Coturnix japonica: one gene and its partners. The protein of the gene in region 2 purifies or fractionates together with the protein of the main gene of each other region. This does not show direct contact. Links are inferred from orthologs where the notes say so. Each region holds a gene or a part of one and is shown on either strand. Other genes may lie near its edges.

Region 1 (3,746 bases), on a different chromosome or scaffold from region 2:
CAGGTAAACAGCAACCTTCCAAAGCACCAGAAGAGATACAACTGAGCCAGCAGTAAGTAACTTACAATTAGACTGCAGGCAGCTCATGCTGTAGCAGTTACAGCTGTCCTGTTGCAACAGAACCGCAGCACGAAGGATTACATCTACGCTGGACAGAGACAGCTGGATAACACGTTAGCTCTGTAATCAACGTCTGGTAAGGGCACTATTGCAGCACAGTGGTGACACAAGGAAGGCCTACTTCTGCCTGCACAGAGGGCAGATATAAGGCTTCTGGCATGCAGCTGAGCTGTGCCCAGTCAGCTCTTACCCTGGGCTGGTTTTATCTGCAAAATGCAGAGACCGGTAGAGCTATTTCTAAACCAAATCAACACGCTATCATCCTGTGCATAAAGGCGCACCCACTACTAAAAGCTTTAACCTGTAAAGTCTGCAAATAAATTTGAAGCCAAGTTGTGGTAGGAATCGGGATTATTCAAGTTTTGAAGCTGGCTGAAGTCCACCTCGCACTCACAGACTTTGTTTCAGCACCCATTCAGGAGTCCTGCCTTCCTTCCCGTTGTTTCTACTCCAGCCAACCTACGTCTCTTCCACTGCAGTCAAAGACCTGTCGTAGTTCTGCACCAACTGCTTCCAATTATCACTAAATGCTCTTCAACACTTCAGTGCGCTCTAAACCCAAACATAAAATACAACATGCTACAGAGTCCTACAGCAAAGCCCAACAGCTTTGAGCATGACAAAGCTCTTTGTAACCAAAATCTGACTTGCACCTTTACTTTCTCTATGCTGAGGTTACATGTGAGCTGAAGTCACATACAAAAGGTTTGTCTGTAGGCAGTACAATAAACAATTTTTCCACATTTACCAGTAATTAGCCCTCATTTCTATTGCATGGTTAACTGGTTTCTACTAACAACCTCTCTGCTATTTACTTGACCTGCAAAACCCCTGTGGTTTTGCTAATACAAATGAATATAAACACTCAGGTGCTGCTAAAGCATCACCACACACAGGCAGCATTTGAGACCGTATGTAAGGCATGTAAAACTTGGCTCCTCCTGCCCCTCCTGACAAAACACAAGCTACAGTTCCAGCTCCTTAAGTCCACAGAATACTGCACTGTAGCTACTTAGTTAAAAATCCATCCTGCTCATCTTTCTGTTACCATCCTTCCTTCTGCAACCTGTCAGCTGTCACATCTAACAGGGAGCAACTCTATCCAGCTTAAAAGGTGAGCCATCCTCACCCCGGGCTGATCAGCTCAAGTGATTTTTCCATGAGAAAAGCAGTAGCAAATCAAGCAACCAAAAGGTCAACGTGGAAGCAGCGACCGTCTGAGCCAGACAGCTACCTAAAAAGAAGTCAGCTGAGCCTGTTCGATTCCAATTTGTTTGCAAAGCTTTAGAAAACACTTGCAAAACACAAGAGCAGCTTATTCACACAGGTCAGTATTAACTCTTGCAGTCAGTATTAACTCTTGCAGGCAGTAATTGCACGCTGCTTTCCTCAGAGCTCCACAGCCACTTCCTAAGGACTCAGTATTTCAGATCCTCGCTCCAGCAAAGTAAAGCAGCGATCAGAAGCAGCTCAACGCTGGCTGCACGGCATCTGTAGGCGTCCATCCCACAGATGACACTGCAAAACAGGTCTGACGGCTAGATGGCTTGTAAGGGAACGAGGATGTAACTCATTTTTTTCCCTCTATGTTGCAGAATCAACGCTGTGTTCAGAGAAGTTTCAGACACAGCGGTACGGAGTTTAAGAGCTCCCGAACGATACCAATGGGATCCGAGCGACCTCGAGGGATGAGGCTGCGATCTCAGACACCCGAACTCACGCAGAGGTTCTGTCAGAAGGGCGGCACCGAATCAAACTAACCCACAAACAAGGAGCCTCGAGGGCAGGACGGGGAAAGCAGCGCAGCTCCGGGCGGCGCGGCCGTGGGCTCAGCCGGGCGGGCCAGCACCCAACGGCACCGGGCCGGGCCGGGCCGGGCCCTGCGGGAGGGGGGAGCTCACCATGCTGCCGGCGCTCGGCAGGCGCCGTCCCGTCCCGGGGCCCTCGGTCCCCCCTGCTCGGCCCGCGCGTCGTCCCCGCGGGGCAGATTAGCAGAGTTCTCGGTCGGAGAAGCGCACCACGCAGCGGGAGTAACTGCGGGCCCGGCGTACGGCAGCCATCTTCCCTGCGAGTGAGGGGCAGGCGGAGCGCGAGCGGCGGACACGGCTCAACACACGAACCCGCGGGGCCAGAGCGCCGCCCGACGTGCGGTGCGGGCCGACACCAGCCGCGGGCACGGACCCCCGCCCCGCTGCGCGCACCACGCCCCCCTGCTCGGCCCCGCTGGGCAGCGCGATCCTGCGGGCGGCCGCTCCCACCGACCCGGTCTTGAGGAGCGGAGGCTGCCGGGAGCCGTAGTCCCGCTCGGGCGGCCATCCCGGGGGAGGCTCCGTCTCCGCTGGATGGCGCCAGTTCCGGCACGCCGTGCTGGGCTGCGGGCCTCGCCCCGACACGGAGCGCGGCGGTGCCGGCAGAGCGAGGAGCCGCTGCCGTGCCATGAGTGAGTACCGCGGGGCAATGCGGGGCGGCCCGTGCCGGGCGGGGCGGCCGGGCGGCTGTTAGGGATGAGAGCTGGCGGGGCTGGCGCTGCGTGGCGGCTGAAGGCACGGCTGCCTGCCCATCATCACGGCGCTGAGCCCATCACGGCTCTGAGCCCATCATCACGGCGCTGAGCCCATCACGGCTCCGTGCCCATCTAGCTCAGTGACAAGATTTCCCCGTGCCGCCCTGCTGCTCCAGCTGGTTCTCTAAATAGAATTCAGGCCACTCAGTGTAACGCTTTTTTTCTGGAGGAAATCACACACGTATGTGTCTTAACTCATGGCCTCCTCGCCCTTATCCGTGCCCGCCGCGCTGAGTGTTTTTAGGAGCGGAGGAGGTGCCCGGTTGCTCGGGGATGGAGCCGCTGCAGCCGGCGGGGACGTGGCGGCCGCTGCGGGCCGGGCTTCAGCCGCCGGGCCTGGAGGAGAGAGCCGCCCCAGGGCCGCCAGGCGTAGTGCCAGCGCTTGTGTTGTGGGGCGGCGGGGCGAGCTGCTCGGATACACGGCGTGACTGCGGGCAGGAGGCACTGAATCGTGTTGAGGTGTTGAGGTGGTGTGGTGAGGAAGACGCGTACAGCCCATTTTGTGGTGGCTTTGTGCTAAAGGGCGTCCGGGCTGTTCTGCCTGGGAGCATCTCATTGAGGAGCGAAGCCCTGTCACTGGGCTGCATGCGTGTGTTGTGGGATGGCGTAGGGATGTCTCCAGCAGGACTAGGGGAAATGGTTTTAAGTTAAAAGAAGGAAGATTTAGGTTGGATGTTAGGGGGAAGTTCTTCACTAGGAGAGTGGTTAGGCCCTGGAACAGGCTGCCCAGGGAGGTTGTGGATGCCCCGTCCTTGGAGGTGTTCAAGACCAGGTTGGACGGGGCCCTGGGCAACCTGATCTAGTAAAGGTGGGTATGTTTGGTGGCCCTGCCAGGCAGGGGGGTTGGAACTACATGATCCTTGAGGTCCCTTCCAACCCCGGTCATTCTGTGATTCTGTTAAATAAGTACGCGCAGCTCCAGCTGGCTTCAGTGTCATGCACATCTGTGGGAGTCTAACGCTTGCTTTTTAGGGTTCTTTTACATTATTATTCGGTTTAACAGGTAAAGTAACAGTCTCAGTATAGATTTGTGTGGCCTGGGTGTCCAGACCTTCTGTAATCC
Region 2 (3,746 bases):
CACTACCAGCATATCTGGAGCAAAAACCATGTACCATGGTACTGAAGACGTACTTTACTAATTCCTCAAAGCAAATGTATTCTTAACACACCCTGTATCTCATAAGTACCAACTTAAAGTATTACAACAATTCAGCATAACGAACGGTATTTAGCATAATTTAAGTTACACAGCCACCAGTTATTTCTGCTCCCCATGAAAACCATTTGGCAGGACTAAGAGGATGGTCCTAAGACGGATTTTTTTTTTCTAGACTAGCATTGCATTAGGTATGTATTAAAGTGATGATATATGAAAGCATTTATTGACAAAAGGCTATTAAGGAAGTCAGTAACAAACAAATGAAAACAAAGTAAGGTGAAACAAGTAAATAATCTATAATCGCCTAACTCTTGAAGATGAATTAAGCTCACATTCCTCTCTTGTCAAAGGCACAGCTGGAGGACTTAAAGTGCAGGGGACAGCAAGTGAGCCTAGAAAGGAAAGGAATATGCCAAAGGAAAAAGAGGTGAGATGACAAAGAAGATTTTTAAGACAAGAAAGTAAGATCAAAAGGGAAGGGGAAAAAAAAAAATCACGGTGAAGGAAATATGGGAGGAAGAAAGCTGAAACAGGAAAGGTGATAAGGGAATGGTGATGATTAAGAAATAGGGCTGAAAAGGAAATAAGGATTGGAAAAGGATCACAATAAGGACACAGCTTTCAGTGGCAGACAAAGTTACTGGGAGACAAAGGAGGTGATTAGCTGCAATGACAAACAACTGCAAGACTTGCCATCTGGATGGCGGCAATAAATACATGAACAAACAAACAGGTAAGAGGTTATTTGGGGGGGGAGAGAGGGGTGAGAAAGGGAGGAGGGTTGGGAAACTCTCCCTGGGAACACAACATTAGGGAGCTACAAGGGAAAACCTGGGGCACAGTCCTTGATAAAGCTGAGGAAGATAACAACAATGGAAATAAATACTTTAGAGATGACAGTAAGGGGTTGGGTGGGTACACAAGAGAAATTTGGCTACAACCACACGGGTCCTATATAGATCTGAGTGCTACTAGTTTTGAGATGGAAACAACAGAATGAAAGGTAACCACGTGAAGAATAAAGGAGAAAAGAGAAGTGAAGACAGACAAAAAACTAACACTGGTGATGAGACAAGCTACGGGAAAAGCTCCAGAGGCCTCAGGATAGAATAGATGAGGCCTAGAATGAACACGGCCTGGGCATACAGTCCTAGGGCCAGTGAGAAGGCAGAAGAGGTGTAGGGCTCTGGAAAGAAGGGCCCGAAGGGTCAGGATCTGAGAGATGTAAGTCTAAAGCAACGACCGTGGCGGTCCAGGCCACGTGCCGGGAAGGGCTGGGAGGCGGGAGGGAGGTCGGGCCGACCTCGATAGGGGAGCGGGCAGGGCAGACAACAGGCAGATCTGTGAGGCGAGGGTTGCCGGCAGCGCGGGCCCTCGCGGTCCGGCGGGGTGATGTAATTCCAGTGCGTAGTTAGAGGCCTCCCGCACCGGCCCGCAACTTCGAGGCCGGAGCTCCGAACCCGTCAGACAACGACTCCCGCTGTCTCTGGAACGCGGTGTACGCCCGGTAGAAGAAAGGCGGGCGGGCAGGTCGGCCAGGCCCAGCCCCTCCTGCTCCCGCGCTCCTCGCTGTATGACTCAAAGCCGGGCCACGCTTCGTTAAGCCCTTGTCGCCTTGGCCCAGCTGAGCTTCCCCACCCGGCCCGGCTGCGTTGCTGGCCTGGCTGCGACACAGCACCGCGGCCTCCCGCACTCACCAGTATCGCACGTCCCGCAGAGTCAGGCCGCGTCCGCCCGCCCCTTCCGCTACCGCCGAGCCCAGATCCGCCACCGCCTCCCCTCAGCACGGCTCAGAAAGCGAGAAGGCACCGCCCCCCTTAGCTTGGCTCGGAGCGACCCACGGCGTGGAGAGGACCCAACCCGTGGGTAGACGCGAAGTCTACCCAGCCCGCTGCCGCCTCCTCTCCTCTCCCTAAAGGCGGGCAAAGGGCTAGCAAAGACAGCGCAGCAGAACCTCTCCCCACCTAAGCCACCGGAAGAGATCAGCGTAGTTTGAGCCTCGAGTCCGGAACTAAAAATAACCGGCAGCCACGGCGCCCGCGCGGGGAGGAGTTGCCCTTTGGTTGTGCTGCTCTCCACAAGCCTGCCTTCTCCGGCTGCCCCGGCGGAAATGACAAAGGCAGGTGTGTGTGCAGCCGGAAATGACAACGGCGCAGTCGTTCAACAGGGTCGCGTTGATGGTCCGAGTCTTCTGGCCTGTACGTTTTACTGCCCTAAAGGGTCATCCTGCTTGGCCCCCCAGAGTTAGGCCGCTTCTAGAGCCATCAGGTGCACTCATTTTCCAGTCTGAAATGCTAAGACTTGTATCTGCTCATGATGAAATCGCAAATGCTTTTTTATTTATTAGATACTAATTCTTAGCTTGTCCTAGGCCACTGAATTACGTGGTATCCAGTGTTAAAGTTACAATGAACACTGAAGAAAATCCCCATCTGACATTACCAAATTAAACTGCTCTCATCTGAACGGCATCAAGAGTCACTAGTTTCGAGTAAACACTGAATTGAAAAATGGCAGTTAAAGAGAAATGGTCACAATGACCTAAATATAATTAGAAATTGTAATGTTATTGTGAATTTCATGAAAAACAAAAAAACAACTCAGAAAACAACATTGCGGAGAGAATAGGGTAGAAATTCTTTGAAAGAAAAGTTTAATCATTCAGTTTGTGAGCTGACGGGGAGATGCTTGAAGGTCTGATAGAGAAATAGATCATGAACTAAATAATGATGTTTGTGATCTTTGAACAAATGTATATGAATTTAATGCAAGATAAAATAAAAACTGCTAGTTTTTGTATCATTGTCACATGGATTACAAGAGGGGCAGTTAATTTTCAAAAGCATGGGATGGATAATGCAAAATCATGCCAAAATTAAGCCAAGTTATTGAAATCAAGGTTTTGGAAAAGTAATGCTTTGGACTCTGTCCTGCCTTATAATTCCGCAGTCCTCAGGAATAAACATTCATGGTACTGTGATGTAAAGGAGGAGGGTGGGATTAATGTATCCTCTGTATTTTGCTTCATCATGGCTCTCTGTACTGTATCCTCCCAAACTATGGGGACTTTCCTTGCCAAGATGAAGTCAAATGCTGGTCTGAATTATACCAAAAGATACTTAAAGCAACTTGCATGGAATCATTAAAAAAGTTTTTTATGAAGAATTCTGCCCAGAAAAGTTTTTTATGAAGAATTCTGCCCATAAGGAGCACTAGCTCCTTATGAAGAGAGAAATGGGGAAGCAACAGAGAGAAACAAAAGATTTCTTTGTTCTCCAAAATGTTTCACTTGCATGCTGGCTCCAGCAGCTTCACACCATTTTCAAAAACTGGCCTTAGAATCATAGAATCGCCAAGGTTGGAAAACACCTAAAAGATCATCCAGTCCAACCATTCACCTATAACCAATAGCTCTCACTAAACCATGTCCCTCAACACAACATCCAGTCGTTCCTTGAGCACCCACAGGGTTGGTGACACCACCACCTTCCTGGGCAGTCTATTCCAGTGCCTGAACACCCTTTCTGAGAAGTAATATTTCCTAATGTCCAGCCTGAATCTCCCCCGCTGCAGCTTGAAACCATTCCCTCTGGTCCTATCACTAATGACATAAGAGAAGAGGCCGACCCCCAGCTCACTACAACCTCCCTTCACGTAGTTAGAGA
Region 3 (3,746 bases), on a different chromosome or scaffold from region 2:
ACAAGCTGGCATAGTAAACCCCCAAAGCTGAGAGTTTGGGACACACACTGAGAACTTTCCTAATGGTGTCTGGTGCCACATTGCACACCAGAGTGCGGTTGTTGATGAACAAGCTTTGCAGGTTTGGGTTGGTGGTAGCCAGGAGTTCAACAAGCTGCCCATCGAGAGTAAAGGGCATGTTTCGAAAATCAACATGCTGAAGATCTACCTGGTTGTTCATGTTGCACATATTCCGTATGCTCCGCAGGATGTCCTGGCCAGAGTAGAAATAGGGGTTCTCCCCGTGGCACGCAATGCACAGCTGCTGCAGCTTGTGGTTCTGCTTTGCCAGCATATCTAAGATGCGTGTCACGTTCCTGCGGTTGACCTCTTTGGATTGGTCAAACCTGATCTTCAGGTGTTTGATTTGGCTGAGGAACTGGCACAGGCTCTGCAGCATGCCCTCCTCATCCTCTGAGTCACAGCTGGAAGGGCAAAACAGAAGGTCAGTCACTGTGGAAGGTAAACTGAGCAAACACAGAGCAGCTTCCCTCCTTTACTGTGTTCTGGAAAATACCAACAGCAAATACCACACATTTCTTCTTACTGGATGCCAGGCAAGTCACTGTAAGGCCAAATGCCGATGGAATGAGGGGGAGAGAGGAGTCAGACTCCAGAAAGACCAGCAGTGAGGTTAGTGCCACCATCAGGATGACTATTCAATAACTTTGTCTCCTGCTGTTTTCAACTTGAAGAAACTTACCTGAGAATGTAATACTTCCCGTGGCACCCAAACCATCACCAGCAGTTAATATAAAACCCCACATTGCATAACACCATTTTCTCTATTATATAAAGAAATTCTAGTCACAAAATGTAGCAACACGCAACACACACAAATCACAACTAACATCAATTAGTTGTCACAGCACAACACTGTAAATCTTCAGCATGCACTGATACGTAATGCTCTTGATAGGCCTGCAAAGATGCTCACACTTCAGAAGCCCATTCCTCATACCTGATCTCTGTGAAGTGCCAAACAGAACTGGAGGAAACAGCCCCAGCCCACTGCTTGCACACCTGGAAGGCCGTGTATCTATCTCGAAGAGAAAGATAGTAGAAAATTTGGATGAGGATTTCCTCTGGGACGCAGCTCCACAGGTCAGGGGCTGAAGCAAGCATAGTGCTGATGCAGTCAGCTTCAGAAACTGGAGACACTTCAAAAACTGCAGTGAATTCTCAAACAACCCTGTTAAAATAAAATAAATAAATGAATAAGAGAAGAGATATTTAGCATCTGTGTACAAAGTAAATCCAATGCAACTGGATCACAGATGGGGCCAGCACTATTTTAAACTTGAAACTTCACCACATTTTGAGATTCAGCACAAAAACAGAGGAAATCCACTGGCCAAAGGTTTGCACACAATTTCCAACCAGGCCTATGAAGCTAGAAAATAAAGTACTAAAGATGTCAGATCAAGGCTTTGGGGGGGAAGGAAGTGCATTTTCCCGCAGCAAGGGCTTTGCTACTCTAAGTATTAAAAAATGCATGAGAATTTTCTAGTGCTGCTGCACCGCGATGCAAAGAGCTGAGAGAGATTTCTCAAACTGAGGGGGAAAAACAAAACCTCTTTGCAAGCAGAAGCTCTACACAGCAAACAGCCCCACACACCCGTTTCTGTACCCATTGTGAAACAAAAGGCTCAGAGCAGATCGGGGCAGCTCCATCACAGTGACCCTTGCCTGTAACAAGGCTTGGCAGCTGGACAGAAATGTTTTATTACTGTTAACCTACTTGTTATAAGCCCCATTTACACAAGACTTAAAAAGCACAATTTGATTGATCTTATATGTGAGGTATAAACACCTTGGACAAAGATCAATAACATCTAAATGTGATATTTTTCATCCACTTTTCTAGACTGTTTTGCTTAAATAAAAGCACCAGATAAAAGCACCAATGCGAGGCAGTTTTTCAGTCCCTATCATGAGCAGGAGCAGGATTTGTACTGGCAGAGCTGTGCAGCCTGCAAGCACTGCCCTTCTTGGAGCAGCACTGGGAGATGGGCCGCGTCCCACAGCCGCCTGAACCCCCGAGGCAGCCCTCAGTCACGGCATTACTTCACCCCTCAGATCTGCCTGACTGCTGGAGAGCTGCGACGCAACAAGTACAACCCAGAGAGGAACAGAAGGCCGCGTTTTTTCAAGTATTCTCCGCTGCGAAGTGTGACTCATTCTTTCAGCACAGCCGCTATCGTATCTGCCATCGTCGCAACGACAGCAGCGCTTCCCCCCAGCGACGAGCGACAGCGGCCGGAGAACTCAGACCCGCTTCCTTCCTGGGAGACCGCTGGGTGCCGTCGTTTCCTCTGACAGCGCAGCGCTGTTTTCAGGCAGCCCCCACCCCGCGCTGCGCTCCATCCCCCTGCCATGAGCACGGCGGACTGAGCGCTGCCGAACCGCAGCACATCGCACCGCCCGCCGCACACCGGGGGTTCCCCGCTCACCCCTCGCGGGCGGTGCCTCCCTGCGTCCGTCGCAGCCGCGCAGAGGCGGAAGCGGCAGCGCCGAGGCCGGGCGGCGGCGGCGGGAGGTAAGGGCCGCCCCGAGCCCCCCCTGCTCCCTCCCCACTACCCCGGCGGCTCGGGGCGGCCACCAGTGTGCCCAGGGACGGGCCCTGCGGGATGCGGGGGCGGTGGTTCGTGTGTAAAGGGGATGTAAGAAAGAGGGTCAGGCTGTTTAGTGGGGTCTGTTGTCACACGACGAGGGGAAATGGCTTCAAACTAACAGAGGGGAGTTTAAGACCGGAGCTAAGTTAGAGGTTCTTTACAGTCAGGGCGGTGAGGCAGTGGCACAGGCTGCACACAGAGCTGGTGCTGCCCCATCCCTGCACACAGCCAAGGTCAGGGAATGGGGCTGTGAGCACTGATGGAGCTGTGGGTGTCCCTGTTCAGTGCGAGCAGACGGCCTTTGGGATCCCTCTGAACTCATACCATCCCATAGCCAGTATCAGCTGGCTAGTGGGGCACAGGCAGAGTGAGAATGGAGAGATGGACACACTGTCATATAAGGGAGAGGAATCATAAAGGAGCTAGGACCTAAAATAGAGAGGTATCCCCAAGCGTGTGGCTGCAATAATCAGAGCTGACTGGTGCAGGGCCAGGAGTGTCCTACATGGCCACTGAACCACAACAAAGGGTTTGTCTGCCCAGACTGATTCCATCCCCCTTCCAATATCTATGGCCTCAGGACTGGTCAAAGTCCAAAGCGACAGCACTAGGCTAAAGGCAGCTCTACTGGGCCCTGCATGGCTGCAAAGCCTGCTCTGCTTTATTAGGAGCAGGCTATGAGTCCCTGACTGACGCTGATGAAGAGAAGCCCAGCCTGTGTGAGAGGCCTATAAGGCTGTGCTCTGTGTGCCAGCAGCTCTGCAGTGTGCATTGTGTGGTTCCTTCATGGGATCCTGCTGTGGTTATTATTTGCATCAACCTCTGTGCATCTCTTCTCATGCTGTGCTATAGTTCTCAGGACTTTTGAGGCCTTGCACCATAGATTGCTTTGTTGGGTTGGCAGGTTTGGATTCTCTGGAGCACATGCATGCTTCCCAACAGCTTCATAAACAGAGAGCAAGGGCTTTACTGTGGCCACTGGGGTTACTGGTGCTGCAGATGAGGTCAGAATGATCTGATACACCTTTGTGCTGTAAAGGTTTAGAGAAATCAACTTTCTGTTTGAAGTGTACAGTCCCAGAGAACATCTTG

Evidence for each region. Proteins that work in one complex are often made in the same cells at the same time.
Region 1: the proteins of CUL1 (region 2) and FBXO9 purify together in Homo sapiens (affinity purification with mass spectrometry; 4 studies listed by BioGRID and IntAct, with this or other methods). This does not show direct contact. The link is inferred for Coturnix japonica from reciprocal best matches to the Homo sapiens genes CUL1 and FBXO9.
Region 3: the proteins of CUL1 (region 2) and FBXL8 purify together in Homo sapiens (affinity purification with mass spectrometry; 5 studies listed by BioGRID and IntAct, with this or other methods). This does not show direct contact. The link is inferred for Coturnix japonica from reciprocal best matches to the Homo sapiens genes CUL1 and FBXL8.

The regions. Positions count from the first base shown.
Region 1 is NC_029518.1:80,659,170-80,662,915, forward strand, and holds the start of FBXO9 (F-box only protein 9), read right to left. Parts: upstream 2,329-3,746; 5' UTR 2,025-2,328; coding exon 2,022-2,024; intron 1-2,021.
Region 2 is NC_029517.1:75,356,246-75,359,991, reverse strand, and holds the start of CUL1 (cullin-1), read right to left. Parts: upstream 2,187-3,746; 5' UTR 2,046-2,186; intron 2,040-2,045; exon of another isoform or gene 1,779-2,039; intron 1-1,778. UniProt on the Homo sapiens protein: Core component of multiple cullin-RING-based SCF (SKP1-CUL1-F-box protein) E3 ubiquitin-protein ligase complexes, which mediate the ubiquitination of proteins involved in cell cycle progression, signal transduction and transcription.
Region 3 is NC_029526.1:235,549-239,294, forward strand, and holds the start of FBXL8 (F-box/LRR-repeat protein 8), read right to left. Parts: upstream 2,580-3,746; 5' UTR 2,579-2,579; coding exon of another isoform or gene 2,226-2,578; exon of another isoform or gene 2,224-2,225; coding exon of another isoform or gene 2,049-2,223; exon of another isoform or gene 2,019-2,048; intron 1,954-2,018; exon of another isoform or gene 1,853-1,953; intron 1,232-1,852; 5' UTR 1,165-1,231; coding exon 1,001-1,164; intron 465-1,000; coding exon 1-464. UniProt on the Homo sapiens protein: Substrate-recognition component of the SCF (SKP1-CUL1-F-box protein)-type E3 ubiquitin ligase complex.